Linked DNA regions of Mytilus edulis. The protein of the gene in region 1 binds, or shares a complex with, the protein of each later gene. Links are inferred from orthologs where the notes say so. Each region holds a gene or a part of one and is shown on either strand. Other genes may lie near its edges.

What was found. Proteins that work in one complex are often made in the same cells at the same time.
Region 2: vacuolar protein sorting-associated protein 33A-like (region 1) and vam6/Vps39-like protein share a complex: the UniProt entries of both Drosophila melanogaster proteins name them as parts of the homotypic fusion and vacuole protein sorting (HOPS) complex. The link is inferred for Mytilus edulis from reciprocal best matches to the Drosophila melanogaster genes car and Vps39.

The regions. Positions count from the first base shown.
Region 1 is NC_092349.1:42,684,441-42,695,561, forward strand, and holds the start of vacuolar protein sorting-associated protein 33A-like, read right to left. Parts: upstream 4,876-11,121; 5' UTR 4,860-4,875; coding exon 4,746-4,859; intron 2,771-4,745; coding exon 2,705-2,770; intron 1,812-2,704; coding exon 1,684-1,811; intron 798-1,683; coding exon 713-797; intron 1-712. Other genes in the region: small G protein signaling modulator 1-like, read left to right, coding at 8,941-9,019, 9,145-9,188. UniProt on the Drosophila melanogaster protein: Core component of the class C core vacuole/endosome tethering (CORVET) and the homotypic fusion and vacuole protein sorting (HOPS) tethering complexes involved in endo-lysosomal vesicle trafficking and lysosome biogenesis.
Region 2 is NC_092346.1:54,792,689-54,802,746, reverse strand, and holds the start of vam6/Vps39-like protein, read left to right. Parts: upstream 1-6,029; 5' UTR 6,030-6,163; coding exon 6,164-6,236; intron 6,237-10,058. UniProt on the Drosophila melanogaster protein: Part of the homotypic fusion and vacuole protein sorting (HOPS) tethering complex involved in endo-lysosomal vesicle trafficking and lysosome biogenesis.

The sequences.
Region 1 (11,121 bases):
AACTAGAATCCCATTCTGAGTTCAGTTGGATGAAAAATACAAACAAAGTGATATAAAAAACCTCAGTCAAATCTAAATATTTCATTGTCCTTTACATTCTTTCCTCATTTCTGTGACTAATCATCAAGTATATATTTAACATCAGTACTGTTAAACCATTTACAGTATCTTTCAGTGGTTTTCACGAAATTTCTTGGGCTAAACCTAGCCTGCAGGTTTTTTTTTTTGCACTTTGTTATCCCAGATATTTATTCTTTGTAAATTTCAAAGTTGGTCACAGGAATATTTTCATAACTTTATCTAATCATAAAAAAAAAGTGAGAAAAAACACATGTGAAATAACTACTTATTCCCCTTATATCACTGGTCAGAAAGTCTCCCTGTTTTAATAGGATTCATGCACAGTTGTTCTTTGGGTACATTTGATTGTCTTTTTGTTTTGTTTTTCTCTCCTTTTCTTCAATTTGAAAACAGTAATTGTTTGTAATAGCACTTTACAAATTTGTACACTAACTATGGGTCATAAATAGTTGTGTGTGTATTTGATTTAGGCAATATTACTTGGGATGTTGGTTGTAGGTGGTATTTAAGAAGTCCCTGCCTACCCTACAATATCCATCTTAATAATTGCATAATCTTCAAAAACAGATGCTGAGAGTCTTGGAAAAACTTTTGTTAGTCAATTGGTCTAGCTGAGCTAAATCATTCATACCTTTAATCTTTTCTCACAAAGAAGGCTTTTTCTTGGGACAAATATGATGTGATATTCTTTCCTAAATCCTCCTTTTTGTTCTTCCCTGTAAATACATGTATAAAATACATACAAATTCCATTCATTTAATTAACACTGCAAAAGTTTTCAACTATCAAAATGTAGTTTATTTTGTCATGTTTATCCTGAACTACATGTACAAGCACACGTAAACATTTTTTTAAAAATTATTTCCTACACATTCTAAAGCTTAAATCAAGCTCAAAATGGAGCTTAAAATCTGGATTAGGCATTATTAAAATGTAGCTTGAATGTGCAACATGTTGTATATCCTTTTTAAACGAAATATCATACATCTTCAAGTACAAATTGTAGTATAAAAACAAGAAGATAGACTGTGTACCAGAGCAACATGTTAAGAGGATTTTTAACATGTTAGAACACATGCAAAGAATCAACAGGAAAACATATACAGTGGAGTCCCCGGTGTACGCGCGGCCGGTGATACCGCTCATTCGCTGATTTCGTTATATCAACACAGTAACGCAAATAAAATTGTTCTTGTTATTGTTTTAGCATTCCGAAGATAAAAAAGAATAAAATTGATAAGTTCCAGATTGAAATAGTAACACTAGCTTTGCATACAAATTACTCTGTTCCAAATCATACAGTTTTTGGCCTTACTTATAAAACATTGAAAGACAAACTACTCAGTGTTTGTAGTTTGTTGCTATATATCATATTTGTTTTTCAATTGTTGTTTTATAAACAAATACAGCCTTTAGTTTTCTAGTTTGCATAGTTTTATATTTGTCATTTTTAGGCCTTTTACAGCTTACAATGCACTAAAGTTTTGTTCATTGATGGAAGCCGTACAGTGGCCAATAATTGCTTTTATCTGTGTCATTTGAACTCTGGTGGATAGTTGTCTCATTGGAAATCATACCCCATTTTCTTATTTCTATACTGACTGTAATAAATTCTGTGCTATGAGATCCATGAGTTTCAATCTTGGTCTGGCTATAAATATAATATTCTGTACATTACTTGGTGGTAGACCAGAAGTCTGCAGTGGAAACATCTTCTCAACTTCATGTTCCTATTAATAGAAACATAAAAATATATATCGAAATTGTTAACAAAAAAAGTAAAACCGTTCTCTTAAAAATTGTATAATGGTAGATATTTTGCAGAACCATAAAGTTTTTGCTTCCCTTTATGCTAAACTCTTAATACACTATCACTTATAGCAACATATGTAAAGATGTCATGCAAAATCTAAACTTCTTGGTTTAAATTTGTTAGATATCAATTAGAAAGAATTCAATTAAACAACAGCAAAATAGCATTTCATTCCACTTGCACAATTTTTGTGTGAGGCACAGAAACTAATAATCAATGTCGGTTAAAAGCTCATCAGAGCTTATGATCAATGTTTTAGTTTGCATACTTTTCAGACTCTAAATAAAGCTTTTATCTTATTATTTATTACCAATATGATGCAATAAAAGCAAAATATGCATATTGTTCCTGTGTATTTTTTTCCATGCATAAATCTTTAAATCTTTAATCACCAACATTATTTTAGATATAAAATGTCATTGAAATATGGAACATTGAATGTTTTCATATCTGTATGTATTTTGGTAATAATTGAAAATGTGAAACAGGGTGATTATGAATGACTTGTGACAACAATCTTTCTTTGTCATTTGTTGCTGATAATAATTTTGATTTCCATTTATTGTTTTGTACATAAACATGATCTGGCTGTTGGTTTTCTCATTTGAATTGTTTTTCATTTATCATTTCAAAGCCTTTTATTTCTTGCTAGTAGGTTGGCTTGTAGTTACTAACTTCTATGTCATTTGTTTACTGTAAATGAGGTGGATGGTTTTAAAAGCCAAAATACATATATAGAAATATCAAGAAATCAAAGGAAATAAAAAAAGTTATTTTCTGAACCAAAATTCATTGTATTACTAAATTTACCTTCAGTAAAGAGTATTCTGCTATTAAACCAAAAGGTCCAGTCAAATCATTATCCCATACTAATGCCTGAAAAATTAATCACTGTTATTAAATAAATCCTAGACAATATAACTTCCTATTCTTGTACCAAAGAAGAGTAAATTTAAATTGAATACCTGCTACACTTCCATTGAAGTCATAAATGTACATGTTTAGAGTCTACAAATTAAAGGAACATTAGTTTTAATTCATATTCAACATTTCAAGTACTCACTGTAAAAACATTTGTTTTTGAAACACTAACCCAGTATCTTTATTGTCTGAATACAATAATTGTGCTCAAAATTTTTATGATCGAATTACAAGAACTTTAAGAAGTCAAATGTTGTTGTGTCAAAATATCAGTTGTCAGCTGCTCTATGGTGGGGTTGTTGTCTCTTTGGCACATTCCCAATTTCCATTCTCAATTTCATTAAAGTTATTTGGAAAAAAACATAATGATTTTCTGACCTAAACATGTGAAGATGATCTACCATGTTATTTCTATTCTTTTTGGCCTCCATAGCAATCTCTAAAAAAGGTAGAGATTGGTTTTGGGGAAACAGACAATATGTATTCTATTCTTGGCCTTTATCAGTTTCAGATCTGTTTTAAAAACAATCTAAGTTTGAAAATATCAATACCATAATGAAACAAATACATGTGAGAAATCAGTGAAGGGTTATACTTATACAAGTAATTTATATTCACTTGTAGATGTCAGATGTATGCCATTATTTGATATATACTTGTGTTATAAAGTAAATCTGTAAAATTTATATTTTTTTTCAAGATTTGAATAATCTCCCCTTCTCCAAAAGTGTACCTGTATATATACAATGATATGAGTACATTGAAGAAATTTTATTTTGAAACCCCTAAAAAGTTCTAAAGTTAAAAACTGGCCTGAAACAAACAATTGGACTAGTAATATGTACTAACTAATAAAAAATGAAGACATTTATTTTATATTTGCAATACATACATTTATTTATACATACAATTTATTTACTGTAATTTTTTTTATTTACAATGACAATTTCTACAAATCAAGTACATGAAGTAAGTGGTTTTTAAAGTCCGACACATTTTTGATGAACGAAATTGCGTCCGCCACGGTTACGTGTACATACAGAAGTTCTTAGTATTTAAGTTACAGTTAGCAAACTTTGCTTTTGATGTATCAATTTGGGTCAAGTTGCATAGCTGTAGTGTATGAAATTTATGTCTTGATTTTGTTTAAGTTTGACGGTTTAAAACGCATCCCAATTTTTTAAGTTTTTCACCCTAAACAAAATTGGTTCAAAGTATAATGACAGTAATAAGAGTAGGTGTGCAGTTAAATACTTTAAAAAAGAGAAACCATTGAACTATATGTTTCGCCTTTGACACTCCTAATCTTGAGTATTATCTTTAAGAACATCAAAACCATTAATACGTAAAACTATTCAAGTTAAACACCATTTGAATGTTGATTTATAATATTAAATTTATCAGTATTACAAGTATTGTTTAGTACATATGAAAGAATTAAGCAAAACAACTATAGAAGATTTAAGTTTAATAAATCTAGCGTACATTGCTGTTTTTCATGTAACAATAACGTAATGTAACCGTAGCCTCAGTAATTATTGTTACATTCGTAATTAATCGGTTCCACACCCAACTTTGCATTCCGGCAATTAGTCTCCAATGTAACAATAATACTTTTATTATTGTTACATTTCCATGTAACCGTAGCCAGTGCCTAGAGATTTTAATCTGACATAAGGAAAAATGTGAAAACATGAATTGAAAAAGAAGTTTTTTTAGGGGTCGCCCAAAACTAAGACCTTCAACTTAAGAAATAGGTTTCCTAAACCATTAACACCACTATAGATTGACTTATTTGGATGGTAGTATATAGCCTTATCTGGTGCTGATCTGTAAATATATTATTTGGTTTCCGCCCCCTTAGCTTACTCTTATGTCCATTGGGGTAACTAGAATAAACCACACATATATTGATTATGAGTCTGCTTGCCTTAGAGCCAAGACATTTGTCAAGAGCTTCTAAAAGCTCACGTCTGTAAAAATCTCTCAATAAACTCAGGTTTATTTTCCCACTTGACAGGTGAGAACCTCCAGTCGAAGCCATGATGGAATAAATGTGATTACCACAAACAGAAAAGTTTTAATGTAAGAACGCAACGTCCCAATTTGCTAATGTTGCTATCTTCTTCTATTGCATGGATGTCCTTTCACAATCATGGAACATAAAATACAGCTGTGTGTGTCTATTGAAACGCATCACACAATTCTATTTTAGTCATAAATCTAAAAGGACTCTTTTAAACAGTACAAATTAGGGGTTGGGGTTGGGGGGGGGGGGGGGGGGGTATTTTTTGTTAAATATAATGTTAATTCCCTGGTAAAAGAATCTCTAAAAACAAACATAAATTTACATTCTGCAAGAATTTATTCTTGGTACTCATTTGAAGATAATTACTCTAATATTAATGTACCTTTTAAACAATCTAAAAACGATTTAAAATGTAATATCAAAAAGTGTGATATAGTAGTTTCAGTTCAGATGAATATGAAAAAATACTTTAAATAAACTTTCAAAAATGGATTCCTCATCTAAACTTTGTCTATAAGAGAAATTAAAAAATAATTTTGAGTCTGAGGTATGATTTAAATTCAACTAAATAATTTTGTCATAGGCAGTTACTCTCAAAATTTAGACTTAGTGATGATTCCCTAGATATTGAATTGAGAAGGTATACGGAACATTCCAAGAACACAAAGATTATGTAAAAGTGTGGAGTCCTAGATGACGAATTCCGTTTCTTTTTGTAATGTGACACTACTAACATATCATTTCGTTCTAATCTGTTGCAAATCTAAAAGAGTATGTACCATTATTTCAAAGTCTTGATGCATTTAATAAACTAAAACACATTCTAAACCACATCCCTGAACTTGTTTGTCATATTGGAGTCTTCATTAAGCAGTCTTTAGAACTGAGGGGGTCAGACCCATGTCAAACAAGCTTATGATGGTTTACGTTTTTTTACATAAATTTATAATTGAACTATTAAAATTATTGTATTACATTGTATTGCAAGCGTATTGTATATAATTGTTTGATTGTATTGCCTGACCCTTATGGGTGTAATTTAGCAATACAGATTATATATAATTATACAAGGCAGTCTCTGATTATATGTATAAAGTTAGAGTCTATGAGGAGACTTTTTTACAATAAAAGTTCAGCGGGAATAAACTTAAAATTCAAAATAAAATGTTCTTGCGTTTACCAGTTTGTGCTGTATTTCTGTTACCCAATAAAGCCATGCAGTGTTGTCATTTTCGCGATATTTTTTTTTAAACATTGTCATAAAGCAGGGGGTTTGGCTAGCCATTTAACCAGGTTCAACCCACCATTTTTCTGAAAATGTCCTGTACCAAATCAGGAATATGGCAGTTGTTATCAAATAGTTTGGCTTTTTTGTGCTTTCTTTTTTGCACTTCAGTGTCCTTTGTTTTTCTCTAGTTGATGTGTTTCCCTCAGTTTTGGTTTGTATTCCGGATTTGTTTTTTCTCAATCGATATATGACTTTTGAACACCAGTATACTACTTTTGCCTTTTTTTTTTATCATGTTATACACTTACAGTATATACGTAAAGCGTGAAGAATGTCCTGTCTATAGAAATAAGAGTCCTGATCATGTGGTGTGAGTGACAATGCACGGAGACAACCTTTTATTCAACTCACAATGTGTAAAATTACACAGTAATAGTTCAAAGTACGGCCTTCAACACGGAGCCTTGGCTCACACCAAACAGCAAGCTATAAGAAAACCTCAATATCACTAGTGTAAAGCAATTCAAGCAGGAAACCCAACGGTCTTATCTATATAAAAAGGAGGAACGATAAGTACTTATGAACCACATAAAAAGGGATATACTTATTCAAAAATATATAACTGTTCAGTAGCCACTTTATATATAATGTCAATTTATAGATTATCTCCTTGTATGCTATATTCGAGTCCTAGCTTTTAAAAGTCTGAATCAGGGAGTATGAAATTTGTAACATACACTTGCGGAAAGATTACGGATTTTGATAATGTCCTTCTTCTGGAATATTACACAGTTGTTGCCGGTGAACAGTTGATAACAAGCTGTACATTCCAAGTCTATGGTCCAATTATATTTATTGTATGATATTTTCAGCTCTCGAAAGGCTTATTGTCTTTACTTATATAGAGCTGGACAGTCTAGAAAGAAATTAATCTTATCTTCCTTGTCTAATTTACAGCAGTTTGGGTGCTTCCTGGGATGATTTTCCCTGGCCAACCAACATGACCAACATGGCTTGAAATAAAGCATAAGGGGCAAATGTAATGTATGTCTTTTATCTTATAGATATAGAAATAAGTCAGATAGATAAAATCGTTAGTCAACTCCTAAGAGGAGTTATTGCTATATTCAAAGACAATTTTCACTTTTGTGCGTTTTTGCCATCTTGAAAATTTTAATACATAAACAGAAAAATGTAGATAAAAAAAGAGGACACACAATTTAACATGGTCGGATTTTTTTAATCAAGTCCTATAAAAGTCATTGTCCTTATTTTATCATTATGCCTTTTTTTTTTAAGCATATGCCTTTTCCAGTACGGTGACCCCATGTTTTTATTTTCTTATTTTATTTCAAATACGAAAGCTTTTATCGAATTCTTATCTAGAAAACATTGATCAATTCATTTCAAAACTATGAGAAAAAATACAGGTATTTTACAAGAGGATAAAAATAATATATAATTTCTACTAACAACAATAATCTTTTATGTGATACAGACTGTTTATGAAATATTACAATGTCAATTATTACAAGTTATGTTGGCTATTTCAAAAGCTTTTACCTACAGCCTAAAGGGTATAAGATTTAATGGCGATATTATTTAGATCCGAATACAAGGATAGTCAGGCTTTAATTTCTACATTCTTCTTTATTGTAAAGCAGGATTTTCTGGTCTTTTCCATCAAAAGCTATGTTAGATAATATGATACAAGTGATTGGCAACTCCATTTATGAATAATGACCATATCTTACACACTCCTCAGTTGGATATGGTTTAAAAGGTCTTAAATAAACGTTTCTTTTAGTATATAGATATTATGAATGATGATAATTATAAACGTTCAAAATTGATATCATGGTCTGATATTGAAATTTGAAAGAAGACGCAGATAAAATTGAGTCGACTATGTTGTTATGGTTCCTATTTCTGTCTTGTAACGTTAAGGGTTGATAATAAAAAAAAAATGTATGATTTTATAAACCATATCAAATCAAATAAAGTTTGCACTAGCTTTTAAAGCTTGAAGACAAGCTGGGTGAGATGTTTTTTTTTTATCCTATTCTATTGATATTGAGCAAAAAACAATATAGCTCTGTAATTTTTATTCCCCATCCCTGTTATTATTCTACTATTCTAGTCAGTGCCAGGTGTGTAAAGACTAACACCTTTCATTTATAGGCGGCATTTATATACACTTTAAGTTACCGTGAAAATTAATGTAAGCTTTTTATATATATGTACAATTATATGATAAAGAATTTTACTTAAATAAAAATTAAGCATATTGAATGGTGCAATTAATTTACTTTCTTACATTACTTTGAAATAACTTTGTTAATGGTTCTTTGCTAAACTTTTTGTTGGGAGACGTTATTATTTTATTAATGTTAGAAAAATAAAACACAAAATCTTCAAAATTTTGTTTTTAAGAATATTAATTTTAGACAATTAAAATAATATTTAATCCTTAATGATCAAATATATTTGTAATTTATCAATATCTATTGGAAATAACTGAAAAGTAAACCGGCTTTCAATTTAGGATCCCTGTATTTCCGGTGCATTTGTTTACCAACAAATTAGCTTCAAAAACAGACGAAAGCAACACCCTTTACCAGTCTACATACCAAAGAACAAAATTAAAGCACACATGACCTATAAACCATAAAAAAAAATATATCTGTAATGGCACTTCCGGTGGTCTTGAATACAAAATGATGCGAATATGATAATTGGTTCCTTGTTTAATCAATATTCATGGATGTTGATTATCTGTGGTAACTGTTCCGAGCATCTTCAATACACATTGTACTGTGGGCTAGTACTATAGGAGTTCAGGGGCTTATGATTTAGTATGAAATATTAATGTTACATCTGGGACTCTTGGACTCTTCTGAGCATTCAGCAGACCTGAAGCTCAAAATGGAAGGCCAGAACCCAACAGGTGAGGTTTATTGGTTAAACTTTTGATTTATTATATTATGATTTCAATTTTCAGCCAGTATGCTTTTTTATTAGAATCCTTTTTATTAAAATAAAGCATTTATATTTTCATTTAATTTTTTGCAGAATCAGAAAACCGACAGAATCTGTTAAGAGCTGTCAAGAAAGAGGTTAGTTGCTATATATGTTGTTAACTTTGTGTAACCACAAATAACATCCCTTTGATATTGATACAAAAATCAATAGGATAATTTATGTTTAATGTGTCACTGGAGATGTAATTACAGTTTTCAATTGATTAATTCTGGGACAACAATCATAATACCCTGATTTTCAAAGATAGCATAAAAGAAAACGGAACGTTAATTAAAGATATTTTTTTTACAAAGATTTTTCCTTTGATATCAAACAGATATAAAAATGATATGTTTAATCTTGGACCAATAGATTCATGTTTAACACCAGATTTAGCATCTTAAATAAACAGTTATATTTTTATCAGGCCTGTCAACTTTTTCATAACACAAATTTTTTGTGAATTTTTTATTGGACAAAAAATTGTATTAGCTCACACATCAATTAAGCAGCAAGCAAATCTAAATTTTCATAGCACGTACTTCATTCCATACAGGGGTAATAATATATATAACATTTTGCAATGATTGATTGATAGATTGTAGTCCAGTAGCAAATATTTCATGCATAATTAAGACAAAGCAAATTAATTCATTTATTTGTGTTATAGTCTTTATAGTGGGTCTCATTGGGGTCTAAGTGTGACGCGAGATTGCCAATTTTTTGTAAGCGGGACACGTAAAAGTCAAATTATTGTGTCGTGAAAACGGGAAATGAGGTCTAGTGGGACCTGGGAAATGACAATTGCTTACATACATAGTGTAAGCGGGATATGGGAAACTGACCAAACAGTAAGCAGGATCCGGGATGGGAACCCCCCCCATGAGACCCCCTTTATATTGAAAAAGTCTTTAGTTTTTTTGCTGTAAAGTCATTGTGTCGGTTATTTTCTTCATATAAATAGTGAATTGTTGATAATAAGAGATAGCTGTACAAAATGTAACTTATATACAGAATGATTTATAAGGGTAATGCTGTCATTTTAGTGATACTTTTAATATTGTTGTATTAAAGCATAAGGTTTGGCTAGCCACAAAACCAGGTTCAATGCACCAATTATTCTTAAAATGTCCTGTACCAAGTCAGGAAAGGGCAATTGTTATCTTATATAGATATAGGAAGATGTGGTGTGAGTGCCAATAAGACAACTCTCCATCCAAATAACAATTTATAAAAGTAAACCATTATAGGTCAATGTACGGCCTTCAACACAGAGCCTCATAGTTATAGTTCATTTCTGTGTGTGTTGCAATATTGTTTTTTTTTTTTTGTTGCACTTCAGTGTTTCTGTTGTATCACTTAAAGGATCTACTCTGGACATTTCAAGCTTGACACATAATGTGTAAATATTTGGTCTATTGTTGTAGAAATTATACAGATTTGTATGGTTGAATACTGAACACCTAACTCTAATTGTGACATGGTTCAGTTGCTGTCTTAAATATAAAGTCCTTACATCTGTTTCATGTATTTGTAATTAAAGTGCCCATTCTTTCAGCATGTTCAGCTGAAAAATTCCCATGTGACATGTGCATGTGATATGTCCCAAACATTTTTTAAAAGAGAAGGTAACCTTTGCATGTTATTTGCATTCTTGATTGATTGATTGATTGATTGTTGGTGGTTTAAAGCCACTTTTTAAGTACATGTACCATTTTGGGCTGTTTCTTGGCAGCCAGTTTTTAGTGGTGGAGAAAGCTGAACGTTCTGGAGAAAACCACTGACCTTTGATAGGAAACTGACAATCATTTAATTTAAGATTGGAGTCAAGTGCACCAGCGTGGTCAGGGTTCAAACTCACAACCTCAGTGTTGACTGGCTGACAACTTGACCACCAAGGCCCATTTTGCACAGAGTTTTCTACTAAGTCTTGAAAAAATGTTGCCTGCTCTTTGGCATGTTTGGTCGGGATGTTGTCTCTTTATCATATTCCCATTTCCATTTTCAATATTACTTGTTAATAAGAAC
Region 2 (10,058 bases), on another chromosome or scaffold:
CTATACAATTATCACCAGTTGAAAGAAAATTCTTCGGTCTGTACTTTGTGATGTGGCTTTAATGATCTTTAATAAATCCTAACTTATGTTATTGTTTTATTTTTCATCAGAATTATAAACCTGTTTGTTAAGTTATATTTTTTGTTTTTGTTTTGTTTAATGAAATCTATATGTTAGCAATTGTCAACCATTTTAGTTAATATGTTCAGGCATTTATTGAATCCAATATGTATTTTTCTCATTAAAAATACACTAACTTATATAAATGTTATATATTTTTGTCTGTTATAGAAATGCTAACAGTTGTAAATAGTTTTCAAATTTAGTTTCATTAGTCATAAAATGCAGGTTTTTATGATTTTATCAACACTTGTTTTAGGAAACTTACAGTTTAAACAGATGAAATTTAATAAAATTTGGTATGCATTTGCATTGGCATTTATAGATGTGTGAAATGAAGATGTGCATGTTGAATAAATGTTATCAGAAATACTGTAAGGCATTTATATTGGGATCCATTTACTGTGGATTTTGTTTATTTTCGAGGCTACCAATACGTGCAATTTTCCTTGATTAGATTGGCAAGCCTTGTAAAAAATTGTTTTTTATTGGACATTTGAAATCTCAATATACCTATCCCTAGAAAATTCACAAAAATTAGTGTCCTTAGAAAAATGATGAATCCATAGTAGATACAACTTTAAAGTTACTATAGTAAAGTTTTCAATGTAGATGTTCCTATGCTATCTGTTCAAAATATTCTTCTCGATCTTATAAAGAGTTCAAGACTTCTGTATCATGCACTTATGAAGCTCTTTAATCTCAAAGTTGTTCAGTTACTTATTTTTGGTTTGACTGATTTGATAAAATTATTCAAAATAAATTTGACAAGGGTTTGAACATATGCAAACCATAATCTACATATATATTATCAGTCAAATTTTTGTTAGAAAAACAATTTCACGGTGGATAGAATGGTAACAGACTTATCAGGTTTTTTCTGTGGTTCCAATATGTATTTTGCACAAAATAAAGGAAAATAAAAAAATATGCATTTATGGTATACAGTCCTATGGTCTATATAAAATACAGTCATACATAGTATGCACCTCTTTTTGGCCCTTAAAACTTTAGAAAAAAAGTTACTTCTTATTCCCATCACCTAAATTGACTTACAGGCCAGCAAACCAGTTGTTATCACTAAAATAGTCTTAAAATTGTTTGTCATTTAAATATTTTACCACAAGTATTTGTTAAAACTTGTATTTCAATTTAATGTACAATAGTGGCCATATTCACTAAAATTATGATTATCCAGATTTAAAAAAAAAATCTTTCAAGTTTTCTTCATCAATTGATTGTTGGTTGCTTGACATCCAGTCACTACAGTGGCAAATATTTCATGCATGTACAGGACCTTTTTTTCCTTTCCAAAGCCAGTTTTCTATTTTTTTACATTAAATATGTAATGTGGATCATTAATGTTGAAACCGTAAAGAAAAATTGTGATGTAGTTCTGTTGGGATAACAGCATTTATAACATATACTAGTAAACAGTATTTTGTACAATATGATTTTGTTAATACTTTATAATTTAAGTACAAATTCAAGTAGAATTTTTTATATTTGTGTAAAATTTTAGTAAAGTATGCTTCATAAAAGATTCTAGAAAATATTAAAATCATGAAATGAATTAAAGAGTCAGTTTTATTTAAACCTCAGAGTATAATCTTTTAGCCCAATTGGTCCAAAGAAACATGGTTATGTGTCGAGTAAAGGTCATAATGTCGGGTTTAATTGTTCATCTTGAACAGGAATTCTTCATGTTGCAATGACTTGATGGTATACATAGACAGTTACAATGATATTCTTTACTAACATGGACCTTTTTTTGGCAGAATGGTATTGCCTAATATTGGATTTATATATAAGTTTCTACATGTAATTTGGTATATTTATCTGCTTTAGAATTGATTAAAACCCAAGTCAAAAGAAGGAATTTTTGGATTTGATTGATCCATTTTCAGTATATTTTTTGAAACTTCAAAGCAGAATCTTTTTGAGTAGATGTATCCTGATTCCATAGATATGATTTAGGGGTAAGCAGCTAGGAAAAGACTTATATCTGCCATAAAAGGCACAATAAGTAGAAAACAGTTGACCATTATTTTTTTTCTTTTCTATTTTTTGTGCTCAAAATCCTATAACTGTAAGCAAAAACTTGCCAAAAAATATTTTAATGCTGCTTCATAACTTTTTCCTATATATATTGAATCAATTGCTGTATCTGGTTCTTAATAGTTTTAGTACACTAATAAACAGGTTGTACGAGAAACTTTGACTTGATATCATGGATATTTTGTTAATTTTAAGATGGAAGTCCTTGAAGAAGTTTTATATTTGAAGAAAAATAAATTGCAATATCAGAAAAAAAAGAGATTTACATTACAAGCAAAATTTGATTTAAAATTAATGGATGCCATAACTTAATTCTCACAGTTCTAGGTTTAAGGTAGACATTTTTTAAATGTAGAATATTTTAGTATAAAGCTGCTTTGTTATAATGCATTATCAACAAAATAAACCACTGTAGACTTTTTTTTTATAGGAATGTAGTACAGAACATGTTATAAAAAAAATGTGAAGTTTCACCCCTTCTTCACCCTGAGGAAAATTGAAGGACATAATTCATAGTTAATGACAGAATGTTTAACTAAAACTGTGTAATAGAGTAGTCTAAGAGGTGCTTAATAAAAAAGCTTATTTTCTTATGATTATGAGCCAAAACGATAATGGTCATTACATGTCAACTTGTGCATCATCAAAGCACAAAGTGAAATATAAGTATTAAAGTACACGACAACAAAAATAAAAGACACACAAGATAAAAATTTATGGAACTCAGTTTCCTTTACATTGACAAATGATGCTCAGCATGCTAAATTAGAATGAAATTCAAAACAATGTGGCTGTGGCCATTGATTGACACATTAAATTCATCCATTGACTGGGAAAATTTAGGTGAACGTTTGTATGTAATGACCACTGCTCACTAAAACTATGGGGTCACCAAAGGTTCTCAACACCTTAATAAAGTAATTCGAAAAATTAATCAGAAATAACACGATGTTTGATTTATACCAATTATATAAATCAAAACATAAAGGTTATTCCTGATTAGTTTTTCGAATTATTTTATAATTAAAGGCGTTAAGAAACCTTTGGTGAGTGACCCCACAGTTTAAATGTCGTTAACAGTGGTCGTTACAGACATACGTTCACGTAAATTGTCCCAGTCAATGGATGAATTTGATGTGTCAATCAATGGCCACAGCCACACTGTTTTGAATTTCATTCTATTATACAATTACAAGCTTAAAGAGATTTTAACAAAAATGACAGGACTTAATTTTTAGTAAAAAAACTTATTTAATATTAACCAAAGACAAGATTTCAAACAAAGGTGAGTCTAGTCATAGAACAAACAATAAGTGGATGATCTCAAAACTAAGAAATTTCGGTGCAAGTCGATGTTGCATGGGTAATATGAAGCAATGTGATTATTTCATCAAAAAAGTCAATAAAAGGATGTATACAATCTATTCATGACTGAATCAAGTTGGTATCACAATAAAGCTACCTACAAATATAGGTTATATGAAAAAGTTGAATTAACCAATACAATCTATACAAAATTTTTATTAAACACTTGAAAGTTCCACATACATTATACATGTAACAAGTTATATGACTATATGTTCACATTATAAGCATCTGCAGTACCTCACAATTTCTAATTAGTACATGTATAGAATACCATGTCCAACCTACCACAGGACCAGAGGGGTATAAGTAGTCAAACTACTGTATCACTACCCTGTCAACACTGAGGTTCTTAGTTCAAATCACACACATGGTAGGTGCATTCGTCTCTAATTGTAATTGACTTATGAACTTAGGATTGTCAGTTTTCCTACCAAATGACGCAGGTTCGTTCCAGTCACTCTAACATCCTCCACCAATAAAAACTGACTGCAATAGTGCTTAAAGTGGTGTTTAAAAAAATCAATCAATCAATCAAATCGCATTGTAAGCATAAAAACCTCACAATTTTCTAATCAGTACATGTATAGAAAATATGTAAAAATGTTCTCACTACCAAATGATCAAAGGAGAAAACATTTTGTTTTGGGCAATGTTTTTAGCACCTCTTTTAACTTTAGCCTCCTACCAATATTTTTGAAGCTTTTGTTATTATAAAAGGAATTTCAAAAGGGGGGGGGGGGGGGGGGGCAGGAGGATTTGTTTTGGATCAGTTATTTATTTTTGGGAACGGACAGGTTATCTTTTTTCTGCACTATTGAAGTAAGATTTTTCATTTTCATTAAAGCAAGGGACTGATTATTCATCTATTTATTTTCACAACTATATTTATAATATTCGAAAACATACAATTTTTAAATTATTTGTTTATTATAAATAATACATGTATAGTCAAGTCATTATGTACCATTTAATCAGAATTAATCATCATCCTCTGAGAAATGAATCTTCTTTATTCCCAACTGCATATATACATGTATTCTATACATACACAGTATTAAAGTTTGGTTGTATCTAACCTTTTTTAAAAGTATTGGCAAACAAATTTTTTTTATGGGTTTTGGAGCAACTGAAGGCCCAAAAAGCTATAGAACAAATGATGAAAAATCATGCTTTTTGGGTGTTCCCCATACCCCCTTTCTTAATCTGAAAATGCAAGTTCTATTTTAATAATTTTTTGACCATATTTTGGTCTCAAAGCAAAATGTATTAATTCAGTGTAAGACTTAAGTTTCTAAGGACAACACCAAAAGACCAATATGCATTAAAAGCAAACATGTTATTCACATAGTTAAGTCTGTGGCTTCTGGTTTTTTTTTTAAATCATGATCAAGTTAAGAACAAAATTACTAAATTACAAAAGGAATACAACACTAACAGGATACAGAAGGGCAATCAATGAACAAAAGACAAATAAAAAAGAAACATTGATCCCGAAAAATCAGGGGCTACGTCTGAGGGAGAACATAACTTCCTTCTTGCAAGGCATTCCTTGTGATCACAATTTGATATGGAGTTGAGCGTTTGGTTTTGAAATTTCCTACATTGTAGTTACTGCCCTGTAATAAAAGTGAGGTAAGTGTTCCTGAGTAAATATACCTAAAGTTAAATGAAACTAATTTTCAGACGTTTCCAGTATATTTAAATAATATTTATACTTTTATTATTAAAAGATTAGGGAAGTGTTTCCCGATTTAAAAAAAAAGAAGATGAATTTATGAAGAATCTGATGCCATCCTATACTTTCAATTAGACCTACTGAGTTATTTATTTTTTCAATACTGTGATTGCAAGTCAGGTAATTTATTTTCAAACTACCACAGAACAAAAACCATTCATTTTTTGTGATTATCAAGGCTGAGTTTATATTCATTTTCAAAATCCTCCTGCCCCCCCCCCCCCCCCCCCCCCCCCCCTCCCCAGAATATCAAATTGTTGTCCCCTTATTATGAGCAAAATATAATTATGAAAAAATTAAACATATGCACATTTACATATGCAAAAAAGCTGTACAAAATTTCTCTGGCCTCCTATATATACCTTTGAGTTTTGGAGTTTTTGCGCTTGTAAATATTATTGACTGTCCGACGGACTCACAGACTTAATAAAAACTATAGGGATCCTTTATCCTCTCAGGGTTTCCCAAATATTGGCCAAATTAAGAATAGATAAAATGGCTTATAAAATTTATGAATAAAGAATTAAAGGACCCCTCTCAAGGAGTCGGTTTTCCCAAAAAAAATCTTACAACTAAGATTGATCGTAAGTCATGAACAATTCAGTATACTTGAAAATTTATAAGATAAATCTTAGTCTTAAGTTTTTTTTTGTGAAACTGACTCCAGACACTCATTTGTCTAAATGTATGTGTTAAGCCAATTTAGACCGTTCTTGTCTATGTTCAAGATGGTTACTTTTGGTTTTTAGTGATTTGAGAACTCTTCTCTGTTGGAGACTTGAAATGATTATCACATGAAAAGTAGCAGTAGATGTTTTTTTAGCTGAATTTTGCAACAAAATGCCATAGATTCACTGTATATTTGTGCCATAAATCGTCGTGATGCACGACGCATATGAGGCCATATCACTTCTTGAAAAACTACCGTTAAAAATCGAATCTATAACGTGCCATGGTATGACATGATTTATTTCCTGGGATTTCCTGTTCAATATTTATTGACAGTGTGACATGTTTAGTTAATTTTAAGATGAATCTTCACAATACTTACAAAAATAACTTTCAGATTTAAATAAACACATTCACTTCATATTCCCCCTAAATGTATTTATATGAATTTGATAAAGAGTACGTGATGAGTGCAATTTTTAAGTCTACAGACTGCTTTGATATCTGCTTTCAAGCAATCTGTAGACTTATACCATTGACTCAGGGCTCTATGCCCTCACATCAACCGTTTTATTCTAAACATTCAGCAAAATCTCAGATTCTTATGAAAAGGTAAAAACAAGCAAAAGGATTGAACTTAAACAACTTTCCTGTAATGTTCTTCTCATAATCTTTATGTTTGATATTTCCCTTGACTTATATGCATGTTTTTAACAACACAGAAAATCAGAATTAAGCAGTATATATATTTAGTGTTTTTATAAATTTAGAAACACATCGGAGGGAATTCCCCAGTTTTGATAAATGCGAGAGTTTTCTGAATTCGGATAATTCTATTTCTTTCATATAATAGAATTGAGAATGGAAATGGGGAATGTGTCAAAGAGACAACAACCCAACCAAATAAAAAACAACAGCAGAGGGTCACCAACAGGTATTCAATGTAGCGAGAAATTCCCGCACCCGGAGGCGTCCTTCAGCTGGCCCCTAAACAAATATATACTAGTCCAGTGATAATGAACGCCATACTAATTTCCAAATTGTACACAAGAAACTAAAATTAAAATAATACAAGACTAACAAAGGCCAGAGGCTCCTGACTTGGGACAGGCGCAAAAATGCGGCGGGGTTAAACATGTTTGTGAGATCTCAACCCTCCCCCTATACCTCTAACCAATGTAGAAAAGTAAACGCATAACAATACGCACATCAAAATTCAGTTCAAGAGAAGTCCGAGTCTGATGTCAGAAGATGTAACCAAAGAAAATAAACAAAATGACAATAATACATAAATAACAACAGACTACTAGCAGTTAACTGACATGCTAGCTCCAGACTTCAATTAAACTGACTGAAAGATTATGATTTCATCATATGAACATCAGGCACAATCCTTCCCGTTAGGGGTTTAGTATCATACCATCATAACATATATGAGAAGAACATAACCCGTGTCATGCCAACAACTGTTTTTAGAATAAATGTGTTTAGTTCCGATGCAAAGACCTTATCAGTGACTCAATATTAACGCCAAAATATGCAATCTTTAATGACTTGACAACAGTATCGTAATTATATCCCTTCTTAATAAGTCTATTCAAAGGTTTTGTAAGTTTCTGAGGTGAATACTGACACCTTTGTGCTTTATAAAGAATATTTCCATAAAAAATCGGATGTGAAATACCTGAAAGTATTAGAAGTCTGCATGTTGAGCTATATTTACGAATGATGTCTTTATACCGATGATAAAATTTAGTAAATGTTTTGACTAGTTTGTGATATCGAAAACCCTGGTGTAATAATTTTTCAGTAATACATAAATTTCTCTCGTTAAAATCTAAAACATTGTTACATACACGAGCGAATCATACAAGTTGAGATATATAAACACCGTAAGATGGTGACAAGGGAACGTCACCATCTAAAAACGGATAATTAACGATAGGAAATGAAAAATCGTCTCTTTTATCATAAATTTTAGTATTCAGCTTTCCATTAGTGATATAGATATCAAGATCGAGAAAAGGGCAGTGGTCATTGTTAGTATTAGCTTTATTTAAAGTAAGTTCAACAGGATAAATTTCATTAATATACATACTGAAGTCGTCATTATTGAGAGCCAAAATATCATCCAAATATCTAAAAGTATTATTAAATTTGTTTATCAGATGTTGTTTCGATGGGTCTTTGCTTATTTTTGTCATAAATTGTAACTCATAACAATACAAAAACAGGTCCGCAATAAGTGGTGCACAGTTAGTCCCCATTGGAATTCCGATAATCTGACGATATACAGAATCCCCAAAGCGAACAAAAATGTTATCTAGTAAAAATTCAAGGGCATATATAGTATCAAAGCATGTCCAATTAACATAGTTTTTTTGTTTATTGCTACTAAAAAATGACCTAAAAGAGTTTGAACATATATATTCACATTCTGATTTTTTGAATGCCCATTTAATTAGGTGTGTGAATTTTTTCTTAATGAGAATGTGAGGCAATGTGGTATACAGGGTAGAAAAATCAAATTTTGAACAGATTCAAAATCACCAATATAAGCATGCAATTTATCAAGTACTTCCAACGAGTTCTTGACACTCCAAAAGTAATTTATTCCACTATTTTCGAAGGAGAACTGAAGTGGAGTTCTTGTTGAGCCTGCAACTTTTGTTGCAGAAAGCTCGACATAGGGATAGTAATCCGGCAGATACAGTGACGGCATTAGCTAACTTTTTAAAAGCTTTATATTTAAGAAGGTGGAAGACCTAGATGCTTCATACTTTGTATATGGATGCCCCATGTTACGAATTTTCTGTCAGTCACATGTCCAATGTCTTTGACCTTATTTTCATGGTTCAGTGACTACTTGAAAAAAAAGTTAAGATTTTTTTGTAATGTTAAATTCTCTCTTATTATACATTTCTGTAAGTAATAGATAACTATATTAGGTATGTGCGTACCTTGCAAGGTCCTCATGCTGGTCAGACAGTTTTCACTTGATCTTGACCTCATTTCATGGATCAATGAACAAGGTTAAGTTTTGGTGGTCAGGCCAAATAAAAAAGTATGTATGGTTCCCGTTACATCTGAAAAAAAGTTAGGGTAGGTAGGTACATGTAGGGATTTTTTGTATTTTATAGGTTTTTTTTACATTGAGTCTATTGGGAGCAACATTCTGACTTCAACAGTGCTTAATGAAAAATGACAATAAGATCTTTAGGGTAGGCTATTTTAAGCCGAAAAAAGTAGTGACGGTAGGGTTACTGATGTATGGAAATTTTTTATGATCTATTTGTCAGTCGCGCAGGTTTAATTGACCTTGACCTCATTTTCACAGTTCATTGCTCAATGTTAATTTTTGTGTTTTGGTCTGTTTTTCTTAAACTATAAGTGATAGATCAACATTATTTGTTGTACGGAAAAATTGTTAGCTGTACATGCCTGCGTGGCATGGTTCATTTGACCTTGACCTCATTTTCATGGGCCATTGGTCAATGTTTAGTTTTCTTGGTTAGATTTATGTGACATTTGTAATAAAGCTTTATATTTAGGACTATCAACATAATATCAATGACAATGATTAGGAAAGAAGGCGAGACATTTTAAACTGTGCACTCTTGTTCTATATGTTACCGTTATGAAACTGATATTTGATACTGTTCTCTCATAAAAAAATGGAGAACCATCTAGGTCGTTTAATTATTATTTAATAAATGTTCTTGTTCCAAATCGCAAGTCACGAGTTTGTATATGTATTAATGCGCATGCTTTTAAAATGAAATGAAAACTGGAAGTGACACGTGGATGATAAATTCAAAACGAGTCCGGATTCATCAGGAAATTATAATTTTTCGGTTTAAATTCCATTAGTAAGAGATATATGATTCTAAATGATTTCGTATTTTAAGTTTTTTATCAGGGTCTATAAATAGTCATAAGAATACTTTCATGCATGTGTAGCGCACAGTTCAGGAACCTGTTTAACTGGTGAAGACATCTCTGAACGTTTTGAATAAAGTTTTATATTTTAATAGAAATTATTGAAAGTTTTTGATGGCAATTTATATCAATTATGACGAAAATGCGTTCGAATGATGAATCTATGACT